Linked DNA regions of Macaca fascicularis. The protein of the gene in region 3 purifies or fractionates together with the protein of the main gene of each other region. This does not show direct contact. Links are inferred from orthologs where the notes say so. Each region holds a gene or a part of one and is shown on either strand. Other genes may lie near its edges.

The links.
Region 1: the proteins of SLC39A4 (region 3) and GOLM1 purify together in Homo sapiens (affinity purification with mass spectrometry; 3 studies listed by BioGRID and IntAct, counting the BioPlex papers as one, with this or other methods). This does not show direct contact. The link is inferred for Macaca fascicularis from reciprocal best matches to the Homo sapiens genes SLC39A4 and GOLM1.
Region 2: the proteins of SLC39A4 (region 3) and LEMD2 purify together in Homo sapiens (affinity purification with mass spectrometry; 3 studies listed by BioGRID and IntAct, counting the BioPlex papers as one, with this or other methods). This does not show direct contact. The link is inferred for Macaca fascicularis from reciprocal best matches to the Homo sapiens genes SLC39A4 and LEMD2.
Region 4: the proteins of SLC39A4 (region 3) and ABCB10 purify together in Homo sapiens (affinity purification with mass spectrometry; 3 studies listed by BioGRID and IntAct, counting the BioPlex papers as one, with this or other methods). This does not show direct contact. The link is inferred for Macaca fascicularis from reciprocal best matches to the Homo sapiens genes SLC39A4 and ABCB10.

The regions. Positions count from the first base shown.
Region 1 is NC_088389.1:116,600,437-116,605,228, reverse strand, and holds the start of GOLM1 (Golgi membrane protein 1), read left to right. Parts: upstream 1-1,435; 5' UTR 1,436-1,580; intron 1,581-2,005; exon of another isoform or gene 2,006-2,167; intron 2,168-4,792.
Region 2 is NC_088378.1:137,903,389-137,908,311, reverse strand, and holds the start of LEMD2 (LEM domain-containing protein 2), read right to left. Parts: upstream 2,990-4,923; 5' UTR 2,967-2,989; coding exon 2,213-2,966; exon of another isoform or gene 698-2,212; intron 601-697; coding exon 560-600; intron 1-559. UniProt on the Homo sapiens protein: Nuclear lamina-associated inner nuclear membrane protein that is involved in nuclear structure organization, maintenance of nuclear envelope (NE) integrity and NE reformation after mitosis.
Region 3 is NC_088382.1:154,108,056-154,110,883, forward strand, and holds the end of SLC39A4 (zinc transporter ZIP4), read right to left. Parts: intron 2,643-2,828; coding exon 2,470-2,642; intron 2,300-2,469; coding exon 2,162-2,299; exon of another isoform or gene 2,086-2,161; coding exon 1,954-2,085; exon of another isoform or gene 1,835-1,953; intron 1,777-1,834; coding exon 1,722-1,776; intron 1,600-1,721; coding exon 1,447-1,599; intron 1,280-1,446; coding exon 1,092-1,279; intron 1,000-1,091; coding exon 871-999; 3' UTR 747-870; downstream 1-746. UniProt on the Homo sapiens protein: Selective transporter that mediates the uptake of Zn(2+). Plays an essential role for dietary zinc uptake from small intestine. The Zn(2+) uniporter activity is regulated by zinc availability.
Region 4 is NC_088375.1:19,544,186-19,549,162, reverse strand, and holds the start of ABCB10 (ATP-binding cassette sub-family B member 10, mitochondrial), read right to left. Parts: upstream 2,969-4,977; 5' UTR 2,696-2,968; coding exon 2,179-2,695; intron 1-2,178.

The DNA.
Region 1 (4,792 bases), on a different chromosome or scaffold from region 3:
CACTCTCTTGCCCTTCTGCCTTCCACCCTAGGATGATGCAGCAAGAAGGCCCTTACAAGATGTCAGCACCTTGATATTAGACTCCCCAGCCTTCAGAACTATGAGAAATAAATTTCTTTTCTTTATAAATTACTCAGTCTGTGGAATTGTGTTATATCAACACAAAATGGACTAAGACATTAAGGAAAGGATGCTTAACAGGCAAACATGGATGCTTCCTTCAACCAACCACTGTAGCCCCTTGCACATTGTTTAATCAAAACCCATCCAGTTGAAGTTTTAGGGCCGGCAACTGATTAGGTTATTTATAAGGAATGTAAATTATGTATATAGACCTATATAAAACTGCATCTTAAAATTTTCAACTTTTGTCATAAAGAATCTAACGAAAAGGACTAATTCACCTTCAATTAAAATGCAGCTCATTCAGCTAGCTGCCTTAGCACCTAGACATATGGACCTGCTCCATAAAGTGTTTAAGAATCACTGAGTGAGTCACTGACTAATTAGTTGCTGATAAATGAGAGACTAAGGGAGACCCTCCTTAGAGGCAAATGATATAGAAGTTACGGTCCACCAGTCTAAGAATGCAAACTATACTAGGAGAGCTAAAATGGGCAAGAAAGGGAATTTCCTGTACCTGTCCCCAATTATGGTTATTTAAGCTCACTAGAAGATCAGAGCAAAGCGATGCAAGTCTGCAAAACCAGGGCTGACATCCGACATAGCTTCAGCTTCTGAATGCTTTGGTCTGACCCTGCAGATATAACAGCTGCAGATAACAAAAATATCATTTTGGAATATAGTAGAACATTCCTCTAAAGGGGTCACCTATTGTCAGTTTCTAATTCAGCTAAGAGGTTTTGGCTCATAAAGATGTTTCCTGCAGTTAAGAAGCTCCATGCTCAGGTGGCAGTAGGGTATCTTGATCACCTTTTTCAAGGTGACTCTTTTTCTGGTTAAAATCAATTTCAGCTGTGGGCATTCCTTTAGGTGTTCATGTATTTGTTTTTTTTATTGTCGGGATTTGGGAGAGGCGCAGAGGAAGGAGCTTCCTTTCCCAGACACCAGAGCTAAGAAGACATGAAGAGACATGACTCTAGGAAAACCGTTCTCAATCTTGGCCGTATACTGTATTAGGATTATCTGGGAAGCTCAAAACAAACAAAAAATATCAAGTTCAGTTTGAACTCTGGAAGTGGGACCCTGGTATCTAAATGCTCTAAAAGCTCCCCCAAATAATTCTAATGGATGGCAGGTGCTGCTAGAGTTAAGAACCATTGCTTTAGAATTTTCTAGCACGGTTTCCTTGTAGGTCATTAGTTTTGTGGCATTCTCTCCAGGAGGTACGGCCTCACAGGGCTTCTCAAACATCAGTGCGCCTGAGCGTCACCTGAGGCGCTGTTTTAAATGCAGCTGCCCAGGCTAGGAGATCACACCCGAAGGCGTCCGGGAATCTTCACTTTTTCGGTTGCTAGTAGTGGAAGGGTCACAGACCAAACGCTAAGGCCTGAGCGGTGACAACCGAAGCGAGATGATGGTCAACAGGGAATACCTAGTGGGAGAAAAAAGACAATTTTGTGAGTATAAACCCCCTAAAAACCTGTTTTTCGTTCGCTTCCTTCTCTGGGCAGTTTTCACCCAGACGACTTTATAAAGAAGGTAACGTGAGTGTGGCGCTGGGTGTGGTTGGCTGTTCGGGAACATTCCCTTGGGGTGGAACGTGGGATGGGGTTCCCCCCAGGTACCCTTTCCCCACCGCCGCTTCCCCGCTCCGCGCCGCTGCTCAGGAGCCGTCTCCCGCGTCGGAAGGGGCGCTGGGGTGGTCCAGGGGAGGGGCGCACGCTGGCGTTCCTGCTCCTGCCGAGTGGGGGCCGCTGGCCGGGGCGCGCGCACCGTGGAGGCGGGAGTCCGCGCGGCCCCGGCAGCCCCGGCCTCGCCTCTCCGCGCTCGCGGCGCCGCCTCCTCCCTTCGAGCCGCCGGCGCTGCCCGGGGGCGGGGCCTCGCAGCTGCGGAGGCCGGGGACGCGGCGGCGCTGGACGCTGAGGCGCGGGGCGCACCGCGCGGAGCCGGCCGGAGCGCGAGGCCGGCAGCGGCGGGAGAGCGGCCCGGGTGGCCTCGTAGCGGAGCCCCGCATCGCCGAGTGGCGGCCGGAGCCGCGGAAAAGGTGAGTGGGCGGCGCGCAGCCCCAGGCCTCCCGAACCGGGGTCCCTCGCTTCCTCCCTCCTTTGCCCCGGCCCCGTGCCCCGCGCCCCGAGACCTCGCGTTGGTCCCCGGACCCTCGCTGCCGCTTGCGCCGGGGCTCCAGCCTTCGCTGGCTGCTCTCGGGGCTGGCGCCGCACCTTCCTGCACCGAGCAGCCCGTGGCCGCCCGGGCCCCTCGGCTCGCTCCCCAAGGCCGGGCGCGCGGCCCCCTGGCCCTGCGATGAGGGGCCTCGCGAGGATTCCCTGCCCTGCAGTCTCAGGCGATGCGGGGCCTTTCTTTTTGTTCTGAGCTTTGTCACGCGCGTCGGCATCCAAAGTCAAAAGCGTGCACCCCCAAAGTCGTACTAGTTCCAGTTCTGCGGCGTGATTTGCACGAGGCGCGGAGAGCTGGCCGAGCCGCGAGCCTCTCGGCTCCCGCCTCCTCTTCCTCCCCTCCAACCCCAGGCGCGCTTCGGCCGCCCTGGGGTCCATGTTGTCGCGGGGCCTCCTGGCTAGTGACCCCGGAGCTTGGCGCCGGGTCTTCCCGCCGCGCGGCCGGAGCGCGGCTGCAGCCGGTTCTCGCGGATGCTCGAGGTTTTCCCGCATACCTGTGTTTCCACCTTTGCCAGCGTGGAGGATCCACACAACTTTGCCGTGCTTTAAAGATCATATCCTGTTCAATATTTTTAATGACTTGCTTTTAAGAAGCAAAATGTGAATAACAATTTTGATGAATTTTTTAAGCAAAATTTAAGAATTATTATATTTGAAATATCGTGATGATGCTGGACAATTTCAGATGTCCCATAGCCAGATGTGCAAAACTAAACTTGTGTGACTTTCACGGTTTTGAGGTTTCCTTTGTCTGATTTGGGGTCCCTAGGCCCTACCTTATGCAAATTATTGAACATTTCTAGGACTGGATTAGTGAGATATGCAGTAACCTGATGAAGTGTTTAGCGGCGCTTGAGTGGCTTTGTTTAGCTCATGGCCATCAGGTTGGCTCAAATCTCAGTTTTAGTATTTCTGAATTTTGGTGGGCATGGGACAATCTCTTGTTAGTTTTTGTGGGTCTCCAAAGGCATCCTAGCTTCTTCCAGTTGTGCTATAAAAGATGAAGCTACGCTCATGCTATTGGAAAGAATACTTTTACTTTCTTTATAAATAGAAACTAGTAACTCGCTAAGACTTACTGTTTTTAGGCCACTCAATTCTTAAGGTGTCAGTGAACAAAAAGAAATTGAATTATTAGGATGTTTAAAGGAAAGAGGTTAGCTTTTAAGATATATTTTGTTCTCCTATGGAGAGGTTATCCAATTTTCACATTTTTTTTTTAAGTTGGTTTTACAGGAAAATGAAAGAAATGAGAGGAAAGGAGTGCTGAGGGTGGGGCCAGGAAATTGTGGTGACTTGGATATTAGGGGCCAAGGATACCATCTGCTTCCTAATTGCTGGTTTAGGTTCAGTTATTGATGGGAAATGAAAAGATTTTGCATTTACATTCCACCCGCTGCTGCTGTTGTTGAGGCCTGGGCAGAAACAACAGTTAGGACAGCAGACCATAGCAGGCCTGGGGCTACCTGGGTTTGTATATATGGCCACCCTCCCCAGAAGGAGGGAACTGCTACCCTTCTCCTGTGAAAGTGCTAGCTGGCTTTCTGCGTTGGAAGTACAGAGGGCAGAACCTGGGGAAAATGCATCTGTGTGAGCAGTAGGAAGGGTGGAGCATCACTTTAGGCAGGTGTGCTGAGAGGAGACAGATGTCAGTTGATGGGTACTGTTGCTGCAAGGGAACTTGAAGGCAGCGTGGTCCCTGAGGTCCAGCCCCATTTCTCAAAGGACCTGGGGTGGCCACTGGGGGCGGGAGAGCGGTGTTCCCTGCCTCTGGTTTAAATTCTGCAGCATTATTATTACTTGTTTTTTCTTAAAAGAAAAAAAAAATAAGTTGCCCAGTGAAAAAAGATACATTTCTTTTTCAATGGTCTAATGTGAGAAACAACATTCGTAATTGGGATTTTTTAAAAGCACTTCTGTTTTTGTAAAACAATTTTTAAAACATTTGTAAAAAAGTAGAAGGAACAGAAGGAATGGTCCTACTATGCTTTTGCTCTCACCTTAGAAAAGGGCGAATGATACTTCACTTCCTCCCCAAAAACTGTTCTTAAAGATCGTGGTGTTTTTCTGGACTTTTCAAGTTGTTGATGAAGAGATGTTAAAAGAGAGACTTGTCTCCAAACTTATGAAGTGTTTCTTAAATCTCGAGAGAGTCATTCCTTTCTTTCACACAGGTATTTCTCACACTTTCAGGGAAAAAAAAAAAAAAAAGTCCATGCCTTTTCAGATTTTTACATTTTGATCTTATTTTCCTTTAAAACCCTTAAGCGCTTTATTAATAGGACTTCCCCTTGCTAAGATTTTGAAGATTCGTGTCTGACAGAAAAAAGTACATATATGAATACTATATAATATGATTATAGTTGTTTATATTGTAATTTGCTATCGTTTCCCAACTTTTTTGATGTTTCTCAGTAATAAAAAAAGTTCTTAACACTCTCCTTTATGTGCATTTATTGCTTATTTATAAACAATGTATTTGCTGTTACAGTTAT
Region 2 (4,923 bases), on a different chromosome or scaffold from region 3:
TCATAAATGGATGGGGCTGCTCATCCCCAAATATTATTTGTAGGAAATATTAGAGCTTCATAAAGCAAATCTAAATGTGGACTAAGAGGGCTAATTCTACTTAAGATGTGTTCCAAACAAACTCCCTATGTTTCAAATCAGAACAGCATTTTCAGAGCCACAGCTGCATCACCAGAGAGAGAGAATGTGGAATTGAGAACTTGGCCTCCTGATGCTTAGAAATGCCAGCCCTTCCTCCCCGTGCCAGGGAGCTTGAGGGGTCCTTCAACAACCTACTGCATCCCCCTAGATTGACTCAGGCAGAAGAAAATACTACATTGATGGGAAAGCGTCCATAACAAGCCCAGGGTTGGATTTTGGGAGGTCAATTCTATTTCAAGTATTCCTTCACTGCCACAATTGAGCCTGACACAAACATCACAGAACACAATGTGACTCTGGTACATTACAGGAAGCACTCCTTGAAAATGATCCTATTCTTGTTCTGGGGAAGTTTACCTCCTGATGGAGGCTAATATCCTCAGGAGGAATAATAAAAGCCAGAGAAACTCAAACTCACCTCATCTGTTTTTCTCTCACAGTCCACTGGCAATAACTTCACTGAGACCAAGAAAAGAAACACAGAGGAAATTAAGTGTGGGTTGAGAAAGGAATACAAAGAGACTATTCACAACATTCGGGGGGAGTAAAGCATTACCAAGCCAAGGGTGGTGATTAGAAAGATGTCATCTAAGGAAGGCACTTTTAAAATGCAGACAGCAAAATGTAAGGGTATCCAAATCCTGGATTAGGAATTAAGATAGCTGGGTCCTTGTCCCAGCTGAAAATGATTAGCTCAAGGTTCTTGGGCAACTCAACCACTCTGAATCTCTGTTTCCTCATCTGTAAAATGGGATCAAATGGGCCTTCCCTGCTTAACTCAGGAAGTTAGGCCCAAACAAAACAAAATACAGGACAGTTTTGTAAACTGAAAACAATGATACGTTAAACAGAGATTAACACCATAATGGGAGGGGAAGTCCGGGTAGATACCAGCATATATTCTAGCACTGTTGTCTTAAAACATCTCAGCAGTGAGTACCAGTGTGATACTGTTTGACATCACCAGTGTAGTTATAGTACCATGACACTCCCAGGTCTGCTTAATTTCTCTAGCAGGTCGACAAACTATTCACATAGTTGATAAACTGCTCTCATAGTGGGGAAATCATTTGGGTGTCTGCACACAAGTCTGTTGATACCCTTGCCCACAGACTTGTACACTCCCAAACATCCATCTGCCACACCAGCTAAGACATACTTTAGCTTTTTCCTGTATGTTGGAAGTTCCTGCTAGGCATGGAAGGATGTGGCCTTGGCTGGAAGCTGGGAACAGTATTACTCACATTTGTGCTTTGTAAAGAGTATTAAAAGTTGGTGAACTACAGTGGCCCTTTATACCTAAATGTATAGTGAAATGATCTTTGTTTCTTTTCAGGAAACACACAATCCTCAGCTATTCCGGATACATACTGTACCCTGAAGACCTCTCATTGGCATATCTAACCATGTAACTTAAGTGTGGCCAGAAGGATGGCTGTGAGCATCCTTGAGTCACAGTCTCTCAACACACTCCATGAGGGTGCTACAAGCAATCGTAAATGCCTCCCGTTGCTATCAGTTTAACCTGTCTGGCAAGCAAGGCTGGTAGATTCTCCTGTTGACAAAGCGGCGGCCCTGTGGTTCAAAGAAGTGGAGAGTGGACTTTTTGGTGCTGCAAAGCTGGGACCCCCAACCAGATCCTATCTGTGGGTCAGTGAAATCTGGAGTGCCTTCAAACAGGCACAAAGTGTGTGAGTAAGCCAGAGGTCAAACGGGAAGAACCCAAAGGGATGGGGTGAATCTGTTAGAGAAGGGTGTGGCTTCCTCTCCAGGGAGAAAACCAGAGGTTGGGGGAGCAGTGACTACAGCTTGTGATTCAAAGGGCGACTTTAGAAGGGAGGGCTGGGGCAGAAAAGGAGAACAGGAGAAAGTGAAGGCAGAAATTATTGCAGATGCAGGAGCCTTGGCCCTCTCTTCCAACAGCTGGAAGAAGGCAGGCCTGGAAATGAGAAGACAGTCAGAGGCTGCCGACAAGGCTGGAAGTGCACGGCCTGGCGCCGACAGGAACGGGTGGTCGTCCGGCAGACACACGCGCCCCCAGGGCCCTCCCCTGCGCCGGCCCAGGACGTACTGTTGTCCTCCGCCTCCTGCGGCGCTGAGGGCTTGCCCATCTTCACCCAGAGGATGCCCAGGAAGACGAGCAGTAGCCCCAGGCTGGCCCAGAGCAGGAGCCGAGACAGCCAGCGCTCCAGCCGGCGCCCCACCTCGGGCCGGGCCCGCGCCGCGCCAGCAGGGCCCGCTCGAGTCGCCCGCAGGCCCGGGCGCGGGTCGGGGCCGAGGAGGGCGGAAGGCAGCCGCGCCGGGGCGGGAGACGCTGCCCACCAGCGGCGGGCCGCGAGACCCGGGCCCTGCGTGGCCCTGTCGGGCGTCCGGGCGTCCTCGTCCTCCTCGGAGCTGCCCCGGACCGAGGCGCGGCGCCTTAGCTGCGCCGGGCGGGCAGGATAGGCGAGGCCGCGGCTCCCTACCCAGGAAGCCGCGGAGGGTCGGATATCGCCGTAGGCCCCAGGGGTCGCGTAGGCCGAGCCCGAGGCCGGCTGGGAGAGCCAGGGCTCCGCCCGCGGAGAGCCCGCGGCGGGCCGGGCGCGCAGCGGCGCATCCTCGCGTAGCCGGGCCTCTTCCCGTAACCGCTCCTCGCCCCGCGGCTGGGCCTCCTCCCGCGGCCGGGCCTCCTCCCGCAGCCGCTCCTCGTCGCGCAGCCGGGCCTCGCCCCGCAGGCGGCGCAGCTTGTTGCGGTAGACATCCCGGGTGGTGTCGGTGATGGGTCCTGGCTGGAAGCCCAGGGCCTGCAGCTCCCGCCGCAGTTCCAGGTCCGACAGGCCGGCCATGGCCAGGACGCCGCCCCCCGCCCGCCCCCGGCGCGCACCACACCCGGAACTGCTCCCTCCCGCAGGCGCGGCGGAGCGGGCGGGGCCCCGCGCCATGATGGGAAGGTCGGTCGCCATGTTGGGAAGGTTTGCGCTCGGCCTATGGGTCGGCCATGATGAGGAGGTCTGACGTGGCTCTTAGAGCCGCCATGGTGGGAAGGTCCAAGGGGGATTAAATTTTTTGTTTTGTTTTTCCCTCTCTCTCCGCTCTCCCACTTCCCTTTGTTTGTTAGATCAAACAGTATTAATCTTTTGAGTCCTCCAACCCTAGCTTTGCCTCTGGCACGTGGTAAGCATTCAGTAAAGTCAGTGTTGATTTAATGGATGAATTGGTTAATGGTGAACGAAGCCACTGCCCCGAATGGAGAGACAGGATCATTTGCCTATCTGGGCTTGGGGACTGATGTGTGATCTGGTTTTATTTGGGCCATATAGTACACGCCAGGCATGCTCCAAGACCCTGTCCCGACTTCGGGCTTGTTAACTGGGCGACACTGAGCACCAAGTAGGTGTGATCCCAGCCTTAGGACAGACACTGGCCCCCAAGGAGCGCCAGCCTGGAGGGGACGCAGTTTCCATAGTGGAGGCAGAGGAGCAAAATGCCCTTGGGCTCGAGTGGGCAGTTGAGGCTTCTCTGCGGAGGGCCTGTGTCTGTGTAATGGGATTTTTACAAGGAGACATGGGTGGGAGAAGACTCCAGAGATACACGGTCCTGTAGCCTCACTGGTGGTTTAGGATGTGGGCTTTGGAGCCATTCAGTTCAGTTTCAAATCCCTACTCACAACTATTAGATGTGTGATCATATTCAATTAACATTTTTAGCTTGTTTGCCAGTAAACCTCAATAGAGTTGCTGTGAGGATTAGAAGAGGTAGTTTGGCTAAGGTGCTTGGGACAGTGCGGGGCACACGCTCATGCGTGTTTATACTTAACCCACATCTTTGCAGTGTCAGTGCTGTGTAGAGTCTCCCACAGGGCAGGTGATTTGGTTACATGAAGGCTCTTAGCAGGAAACTCCTAAGGGAAGCAAGGGAATGTGGCAACTGAAAATAGAGCCAGTTTATAATCTTCCTTCCACATCCCTCAACTCCCATTCCCAAACATTTATTGCTGGCCCAATAGGTTCCATCTATTTCTACCCCTGCTATTCCATTCTCCCCTTCCCCCAGGCCCCTTCTCCCTGGAATCCCCATATCTGTCCCAACAGACCCCTTACCCACTCCTCACTTTATTCCCTCCCCTCCCTGACACGCTGGGCAATGCTATGCTCCTCTGTCTGGGTTTTGCATTCCTGCCACTTGCTCCACCTCGGGGGTATTCAACCCTGGCCACAATTGCTGGGAAAATTACAGCCTCAGCTTGGTCAGCTTCCACTGTTGGCCTCCCCATCTCCCCTGACTTAGCTGCTCCCATGTGGTGTGATTTCTCTCACCAAGTGTTGTTTTCCTTTTCTCTGTCTGTGTTTGCACAGAATGCCGTGAATTTGATATAGTGATTGCCTAACACATATACCACATAATAGTATTTTATTTCTTTCTGAAGCACTGTTTGCATGACAAATGAGTTGGTAACATTTGTGTAGCTCCTTGCAGCTGTGCAGTTCAATATATAAAGAATGAGCCTTTCGGCATCAGTACTGGCCCCACGTATTCTAAGAGGGCTTGAAACTAATGCTTAAACAAAGTTATCGTTACAGCATTTCACAGAGTTATGGTCTATTTTATCACAATGGATCTCAGGGCGATTTAAAAATATGGACTGAACTGGAGCCACCCCCAGTGGTGGCACGCAGTGTGGGCTTTGTCAGCTTCCTTATGTTTGGGGACACTGCTGCCGTTCCACACATCTAGGGTCAAGTGGCCCACAGCCCCTCCCCCAGAACTCTGTTGTCTTCCCTCTGGTGTAGAACCCACTGTGCT
Region 3 (2,828 bases):
GTAGGGTCACAGATTAACAGCATCACAAATACAGAACAAAATGGAGTCTCTTATGTCTACTTCTTTCTATATAGACACAGTAACAGGCTGATCTCTTTCTTTTCCCCACAAAGACAGAGGCAGAGATTGGAGTCATACTGCCCACAAACCAAGGAACACCTGGGGCCACCAGTAGCCAGGAAAGGCTTGGGGAACAGACTGCTTCCTGGAGACTTCAGAGGGAGCATTAGTCTCCTGATGCTTTGATTCCTAACTTTTAGCCTCCAGAACTGTGAAAATAAGTTTCTGGTTTGAAGGCACTCAGTTTGTGGTAGGCTGTGTTATGGGAGCCCTAGGAGGCCACTACATAGGGACTCAGGATTAACGCCTCAGAGTCAGAAGAGGCTGGGGTCCCAGGAACCATGGGCTGCCACACTCTGGTCTGATTATCTCCAGGCTTGCTTTCCATGACAGAAAAATATGCCTTCAGCTGTGTAAGCAGTTATGGGTAAGCAAGTTTGATTACTGTTTGGGGACAGGGTCCCACCTGCTGCCCACACACCCCGGCGAATTTCCCTGACCCCACTCCTCAGGCAGGCAGGGTCTCCACATCAAAGAGGGGGTGCCTGAGGCTGGCTGCCTGGGGGGCCCTGAGTGCAGCTCTTCCTGCTTCTCTTCGAGGCACCCCGATGGGGAGAAGGCAGTGCCGCAATTGTCCTTTCTCAGCTGAGGACCTTTCCCACCCAACAAGGAGAGCACAGCCATGCTGCAAGGACAAGAGTGTCTTTATTGGAGTTAGGACTGGGGCCTCTATAGGGGCTTCTGGTTTCTGGGCTGTAGGTTTGTGGGGTGTGGGATCTTGGGTCAAAGGTGGGAGACTAGGGCAGGGTATCAGAGGGTGATATCATCCTCGTACAAGGACAGCAGCAGCAGGACGGTCCAGCCGCCCAGCAGGCCCACGTTGTGCAGCAGAAAGAGGAGCCAGGGCCGTGGGTCCCGTACTTTCAAGATGGCCGGGAGCTGAGGAGCAAGTGGGTACCAGGTCAGCGCCCCTGCTCAGCTCCGCTGCTCAGTTCCCGGCCCAGAGCAGCCCCTCCCCTCACCATCCTGACCATGTCGCAGAGTGCCACGTAGAGGAACAGGCCGGTGGCCACTGCCAGGATCCAGACCTCGCTCTCCTCGCCGACTCCAACCGCGAGTGCCACGTAGAGACCCGCGAAGGCCGTGAGCGCAGAGGCCAGGTTCAGCACCAGCGCTTGGCGCACGGAAAGCCCCGCCTGCAGCAAGGCCGCGAAGTCCCCTGCGGGCGGGTCCACGTCAACAGCTCCGCCCTCCTATTTACATGCCCCGCCCACCTCCTTTCGGTCGCGCGCTCTTACCACCAGGCCCCGCCCACCTGTTCCCGGTCTCCCCGCCCAGCCCCGTGCGGCCCCGGCCGTCTCCTTCCAGGCCCCGCCCGCCGCTCACCCAGCTCGTGCGGCAACTCGTGGCAGAACACCGCCAGCGAGGTGGCCAGCCCGGTCTTCCAGGAGGACGCGAAGGCGGCGCCCACGGCCAGCCCATCGGCGAAGTTGTGCACGGCGTCGCCCAGCGTGATCACATAAGGCAGTAACCTCAACTCTGCGGATGCAGCGGCCGTGGGTTCGCGTGGCCTGTCCCCGACCGCCAAGCCCCGGGCCCCGCTCGCGCTCCACACAAACCTCAGATTCCCCAGCCCTTCCGGGGTCGCCCCCTGGGCTCACCTCGGCTCAGTCTCCTGGGCTCCGGGTTCAGCAGCTCCGGGCTCTCCTCCGCCACCTGGGAGGAGCCTTGAGTAAGTCCCGCCCAGAGATAGAGGAGGAACGCGGCGGGGCGGGGCCCCAGATCACCGCGGGAGGCGGGGCCGCAGGCCTGGGGTGGGGCTAGGAGTGTGGGCTTGGGAAGGGGTCTGTGGGAGGGGCTCCGCGTGGGGTGGGGCATCGGGCGTCCACTCACCAGGTCCGCGCGGGAGCCCTCGTGGGGCGGCTTGGGCTGCCGGAGTTCGCTGGGTGCCAGCTGCAGGGACACACCGTGGCTGTGGCCGCCGTGGCTGTGGCTGCTGTGGCCGCAGGGCCCGTCCTCCAGATCCTGTGAGGGTAGCTGCTCAGTGTCCACCAGGCCCCCAGCACACCCACCCGCCGGGTACCTTCCCATGAAGCCTGACCTCCGGGTCCCTGGGCAGCAGGAGGTTGAAGAGGTTCTCAAACAGGAAGAAGGCGTAGAGCCCGGCCAACATAGCCAGGAGGCGCCAGGTGGGCTGTGGGCTGAGGCCCTCTTCGCTGTGTGTGTGCAGCCCCAGCACCTGGGGAGTAGGGGCGCTGGGCTGGGGGGGTCACAGGGCGCCTCCCTCCAAGACCCAGGGAGAGGGGTCAGGGGTCAGGGGGTGGTGTGGGTAAGGGCCCTGGGAGGGCATGGCCTGGGAGTCCATGGTGGGGAAGGGAAGGCCAGGATCGGGGGGTTGTGGGGGCAGACCTTGGGCATCAGGTGCAGGACAGCATCCCCAGTGAGTGCACCCACCGCCAGGCTCAGGCAGGTCTGCAGGATGTAGTGGGTGACCCCCCTGCAGCCAGTGCAGGTCAGCAGTACGAGGCCAAAAACCGCGCAGAGGCAGATGAGCAGCGTGGCCAGGGAGCCGTACAGATACCCTGGGGGCGGGTGAGGTGGCTGTGAGAGTTTTTCTTCCAGACTCAGCCCCTGCTTCCCGGGCGTCACTCACCAGAGCTGCAGGCGGTCAGTGTGGGCCAGTCCCTCACTCAGGCTGACGCTCCTGCCTCAAAGCCCCACTCCCCTCCTGGCGATGCCACATTCCCCTGTGTCTGCTGTTTCAACTT
Region 4 (4,977 bases), on a different chromosome or scaffold from region 3:
AAAAAAAAAAAAAAAAAAAAAAAATTAGTGTGGCAACCCTAGGCTTGTTTTTTTCAAATTATACATTCATAATTTCTCAATGTGGTGGAACAAAATATATCCTGTTCTTAAAATAGAAAGAAGGCTGGGTGTGGTGGCTCACACCTGTAATCCCAGCACCTTTGGGAGGCCAAGGTGGGCAGATCACCTGAGGTCGGGAGTTTGAGACCACCCTGACCAACACGGAGAAACTCTGTCTCTAAACATACAAAATTAGCCGGGTATGGTGGCATATGCCTGTAATCCCAGCTACTTGGGAGGCTGAGGCAGGAGAATTGCTTGAACCTGGGAGGCGGAGGTTGCGGTCAGACGAGATCATGCCATGGCACTCCAGCCTGGGCAACAAGAGCAAAACTCCAGCTCAAAAAAAAAAAAAAAAAAAGGTACAAGCCGGGTGTAGTGGCACATGCCTGTAGTCCCAACTACTCAGGAGGTAGAGGCAGGGCTGCTTGAGCTGAGGAGTTCGACACAAGTCTCAGCAACACAGTGAGACCCCTATCCCAGAAAAACAAAAGGAAGAAAGAAAAAAGGAGGCACAGTCTTGCCTTGTTTAAGGCTGTCACCAAAACATACTAGTATGGCAGGATATCGGGGGACAGAGTAGGGGCTCACAGGAGCAATGGTCATAGGATAAGCAGGACTGGGCACGTGTAGGCACCACCAAAGCCTGACATCTAAACACCATTCCTGACATCTAGTATTTCACAAACAAAACAGAACTGGATTCCCTTACACTTACTTTGAGTCACATACAGAAGTGGTGGGTGCACCCTATGATGCTTAGGGTTTCTAAAGGCCTCACTCTGTGCCTGGTGGTATGGTCATTTATTCCTTCACTGAAGGCACTCTGAGTGCTTGCTCTGTGCTGTGCACATGCTAAGAACTGGAGGCAGAAAGATGAATCAGACAGTCCCTGTCTCAAGCAGCTCAAAGTCCAGTGAGAGCTCCTAGTCTCCAATGTTTTTAAAGAGAGAAAAAGAAAGATTTTTACATCAAAATCTACACTCAACCAACTGAACAATGAAATAATTCTCTTTATACCCGAGCGATACCAAGAGTCCCCCTAAGCTTTCATAGTAACTGGCAGATGAAAAGTCGCCACCCTAACTGCTCTCTTCCACTGTGCAAACCTACTCTAAATCCCAAATCACTACTCAGGAGGGTCCTTTCTAAAGCAATGGATTTGCAGCAAAGAATGCTTTTCTGGTGTTGCACCTGACAACCTCACAGGCCCCTTTCCACAGCCCACAGGTGCAGGCTGACCTCTACACATATGAATAGTTCAGAGATGCTTCTCCCCACTAAGCCAGAAGTCCCGGCAGAAGCGGGAACCATGTTTCCTTGTGCATGCCACTGTAACCCCAGGGCCCAGTTCAGAATGAGGGCTCAACAAATGTTTATAGAAGGAATGAAAATTTAGAGAAATCAAAAAGTTTAGATCTTACAAGGCCCTTGCATCTAAACACTCCTCCAATTAATGGTTAAAAAATGAGGAGCTATAGAAAACTGTACTATTTAAATTTTGTTTCTAAAAGCATTCATTTTGGCTTCTTTAAAAAAAGTTACTCAATTACTGAACAGATAACTGGTTGGTGTGGACTGATGAACAGTGCTATAACTTCCTGCTTCCCACTTAGCACGAGACGAGTGTGAAAGTTCTGCTTTCCGTTGTGAAAGCATTGGTGACTGCTTGACAGACTCGCTTAAAGCAAACAATTTTTTTTTTTTTGGTTAAAAAAAAAGTATAAATGCCTAATAACAAAATAGGCATATTTTTGGCTACAATTTATTTTTTTTCCAAGGAAAAACCTCCAGCTCATTTTGCTGCCTAAGCCAAAACAGATGCTCCCACTAAGTTGGTGACGGAACAGACCCAAAGATTCCAATAAGGACATATACAATGTGTGTCAACAAGAAAAAAAGTGTAAAATCTGCCAACGAGTCCCCAGCTAAGGCGAAATCTTGACAACGCTACTCCGAGGAGAGCCATCCCCTCCCTCCTCCGGGGTTAGGAGTGGCCCAGGAGAGGCGGCGGTGACAGGCGCTCTGCGGCCCGGCCGTGTCCCTCTCGGCGCCCCGGGATCCCGCGCGTGGAGAAGGAGCGGCCCGGAGGAGGGAAGTGGTCGGGGAGGGCCCTACCTGCCAGCCTCCGGCGCTCAGGGTACGCCAGCCCCAGGAGCTTCCGGGCTTCCGGGAGTTCGGGTGACCGGGGGCGCAGCCGCCCGTTGTCCCCAGGAGGCGCCGCTTGCCCGCGCCGCCAGGCCTCGTCCCCTGCCCAGGCAGCGGCTGCCGGACCGCCCGGGAACCCGGCGCGCGGGAGCCGAGGAGCGCCCAGCCCAGCAAAAGCCCCGCACGTGCAGCTGCCAGGGGCCCGAGCCCACAGCCCCATGAGCCGCGCGAGGCCCAGGCCGCCCCCCGAGTAGCCCGGACCCCCGTTCCGGCAGCCGCTCCTCCAGCGGCGCGCGGCTCCAACGCCCCCGAGCAGCGCCGGCCCCGCGCCCCATAGCCGTGTGGGCCTCAGGCCAGTGAACGGCGATAGGGATCCAGGGGAGCGGATGGCCGGGGCCCACACGCAGGCTACCGGCAGGAGCCGACCTGGCTCGGCTGGGCCCGGGGGCGCGAGCAGCCGCAGCGGCCAAGCAGGGGGGCCGCGCATGGCGCTGCGTGCGACCCGTACGCCTCAGCCCGCGGGCCAGGCGCGCGCAGAGGCCGAGGACCCTCCCGGACCGGCCCCGAGCAAAGGGCGTGGACGCAGTGGCGCCCGCCCCTCCCTGCTGGCTGTCACTCGCCTTATCGTGCCTGCATCCCTGGGCTGCGCCCGCCCCCGCCCCATCCTCGTCCGCGCGGTGCTGCGCCCCTCCGCCCCACCCCGAGGACTGCAGCTACCCGGACCATGCAAGCCACCCTTCCAAGCGCCCCCAACCCGCTCGGGTGCCCTCCCTGCAGCGCCCCCAACTGTCCGCTGGCGGAGTAGCGCCGGGCGCGCCGACTGGGACGAGGCCCGGGAAGCCCAGGAGCACGGCTGCGCCTGCGTACTGGCCGCAGGGAATTTTTTTCGCGCTTCGCCGTCCCCTCTGGTCTGAACTCGGGAGCCGCACGAGCTCTTTCTCACGCCGGCAGACCGGCGGAGCGCGCAGACGCGACTACACGATGCCCGGCACAAGGATGGGGCGGGAGGACAGCGCGCTGGACACGGCGTGGGGCGGGTCCGCGGCCCGGGAGACCCATGCTGGGGCGGCCCTGTCACCAGTCTCGCTGCCAAGCACAGGGCTGAGGTGCGGAGGGACCACTGAGAGGACTTCGCTGCGTGTCAGCTCAGCTCTGGACGGCGTGGAGGAGGTGGTTGGCGAATAGTGAAATGTATATAACTTTCAGAAGGGAGGAGATCGTTTCTTTTCTTTTCTTTTCTTTTTTTTCTTGAGACGGAGTCTTGCTCTGTGTCTTAGGCTGGAGTGCAGTGGCGCGATCTCGGCTCACTGCAACCTCCGCCTCCCAGGTTGAAGTGATTCTCCCGCCTCAGCCTCCCAAGTGGCTGAGATTACAGGCATGCGCCACCACCCCCGGCTGATGTTGTATTTTTAGTAGAGACGGCATGTTGGTCAGGCTCGTCTCCAACTCCTGACTTCAGGTGATCCGCCCGCCTCGGCCTCCCAAAGTGCTGGGATTACAGGCGTGAGCCACCGCTCCGGGCCAGAGATCGTTTCTTAACTAGAGCAGAAATTTGAAAACAGACGTGGTCGAGGCATTTCCGCTGTTCGAAGTGGAAAACACCAATCAGAAGGCAATGCATTTTAATACACGTGCATGGAAAGAGAGGAGAGAACATTAAAACTCACTGGGACACTTTATGGAGACTTCATGGTGGGGGATATATACCTGGGGCACAGTAAGTCGTGGGTAGATTTTTGTAGACTCCTAGGTATTTTTACTGGACCTGGACAGGGTACTGTCAATTGCAAATTTTATGGGTTCACAAAACAAAAAAACCTCAATAATCAGCATAAATATTTTCGTGCAATATTTTTAAAACTCAAAATTAATTTTAAAAATCCATAATGAACAAAATATCAAAAATTTTAATTGAGTATCCACTCCTGACCTTTCACAATCCTGCCTCTCTTCTCTCGCTCTAATCCCAACCCTGAAAACTATTTACAAAAACTGCAGCAGCTGCCATTAGTTTGGCAGCTGGAAAATGGGAAAGAGAAAGTAAGAGGAAGATTAGATTTGGGTTAAAGTTGTCACTTTCTCTTCAACTGGAGAGTATCAATCCTTGATGTTTCTTTAGTTGGGCTCAAAAAGGAGGTAGCAGCCGGACACAGTGGCTCACACCTATAATCCCAACATTTTGGGAAGCCAAGGCAGGCGGATCACGAGGTCAGGAGTTCAAGACCAGCCTGACCAACGTGGTGAAACCCAGTCTCTACTAAAAATACAAAAATTAGCCAGGTGTGGTGGAGTGCGCCTGTAATCCCAGCTACGCAGGAGGCTGAGGCAGGAGAATTGCTTGAACCTGGGGGGTGGAGGTTGCAGTGAGCTGAGATGGTGCCACACTGCACTGCAGCCTGGGAGACAGAGCAAGACTGTCTCAAAAAAAAAAAAAAAAAAAAAAAAGAGGAGGTAGCAGCTGGGCGGTGGCTCACACCTGTAATCCCAACATTTTAGGAGGCTGAGGCAGGTGGATCCCTTGAAGTCTGGAGTTCGAGACCAGCCTGGCCAACATGGTGAAACTCCATCTCTACTGAAAATACAAAAATTAGCCAGGCTTGGTGGTGCATGCCTGTAGTCTCAGCTACTGGGGAGGCTAAGGCAGCATAATTGGTTGAATCCAGGAGGTGGAGGTTGCAGTGAGCTGAGATGATGTCACTGCACTCCATGCACTCCAGCCTGGGTGACACAGCAAGACTGCATCTCAAAACAAAAACAAAAAAAAACAAA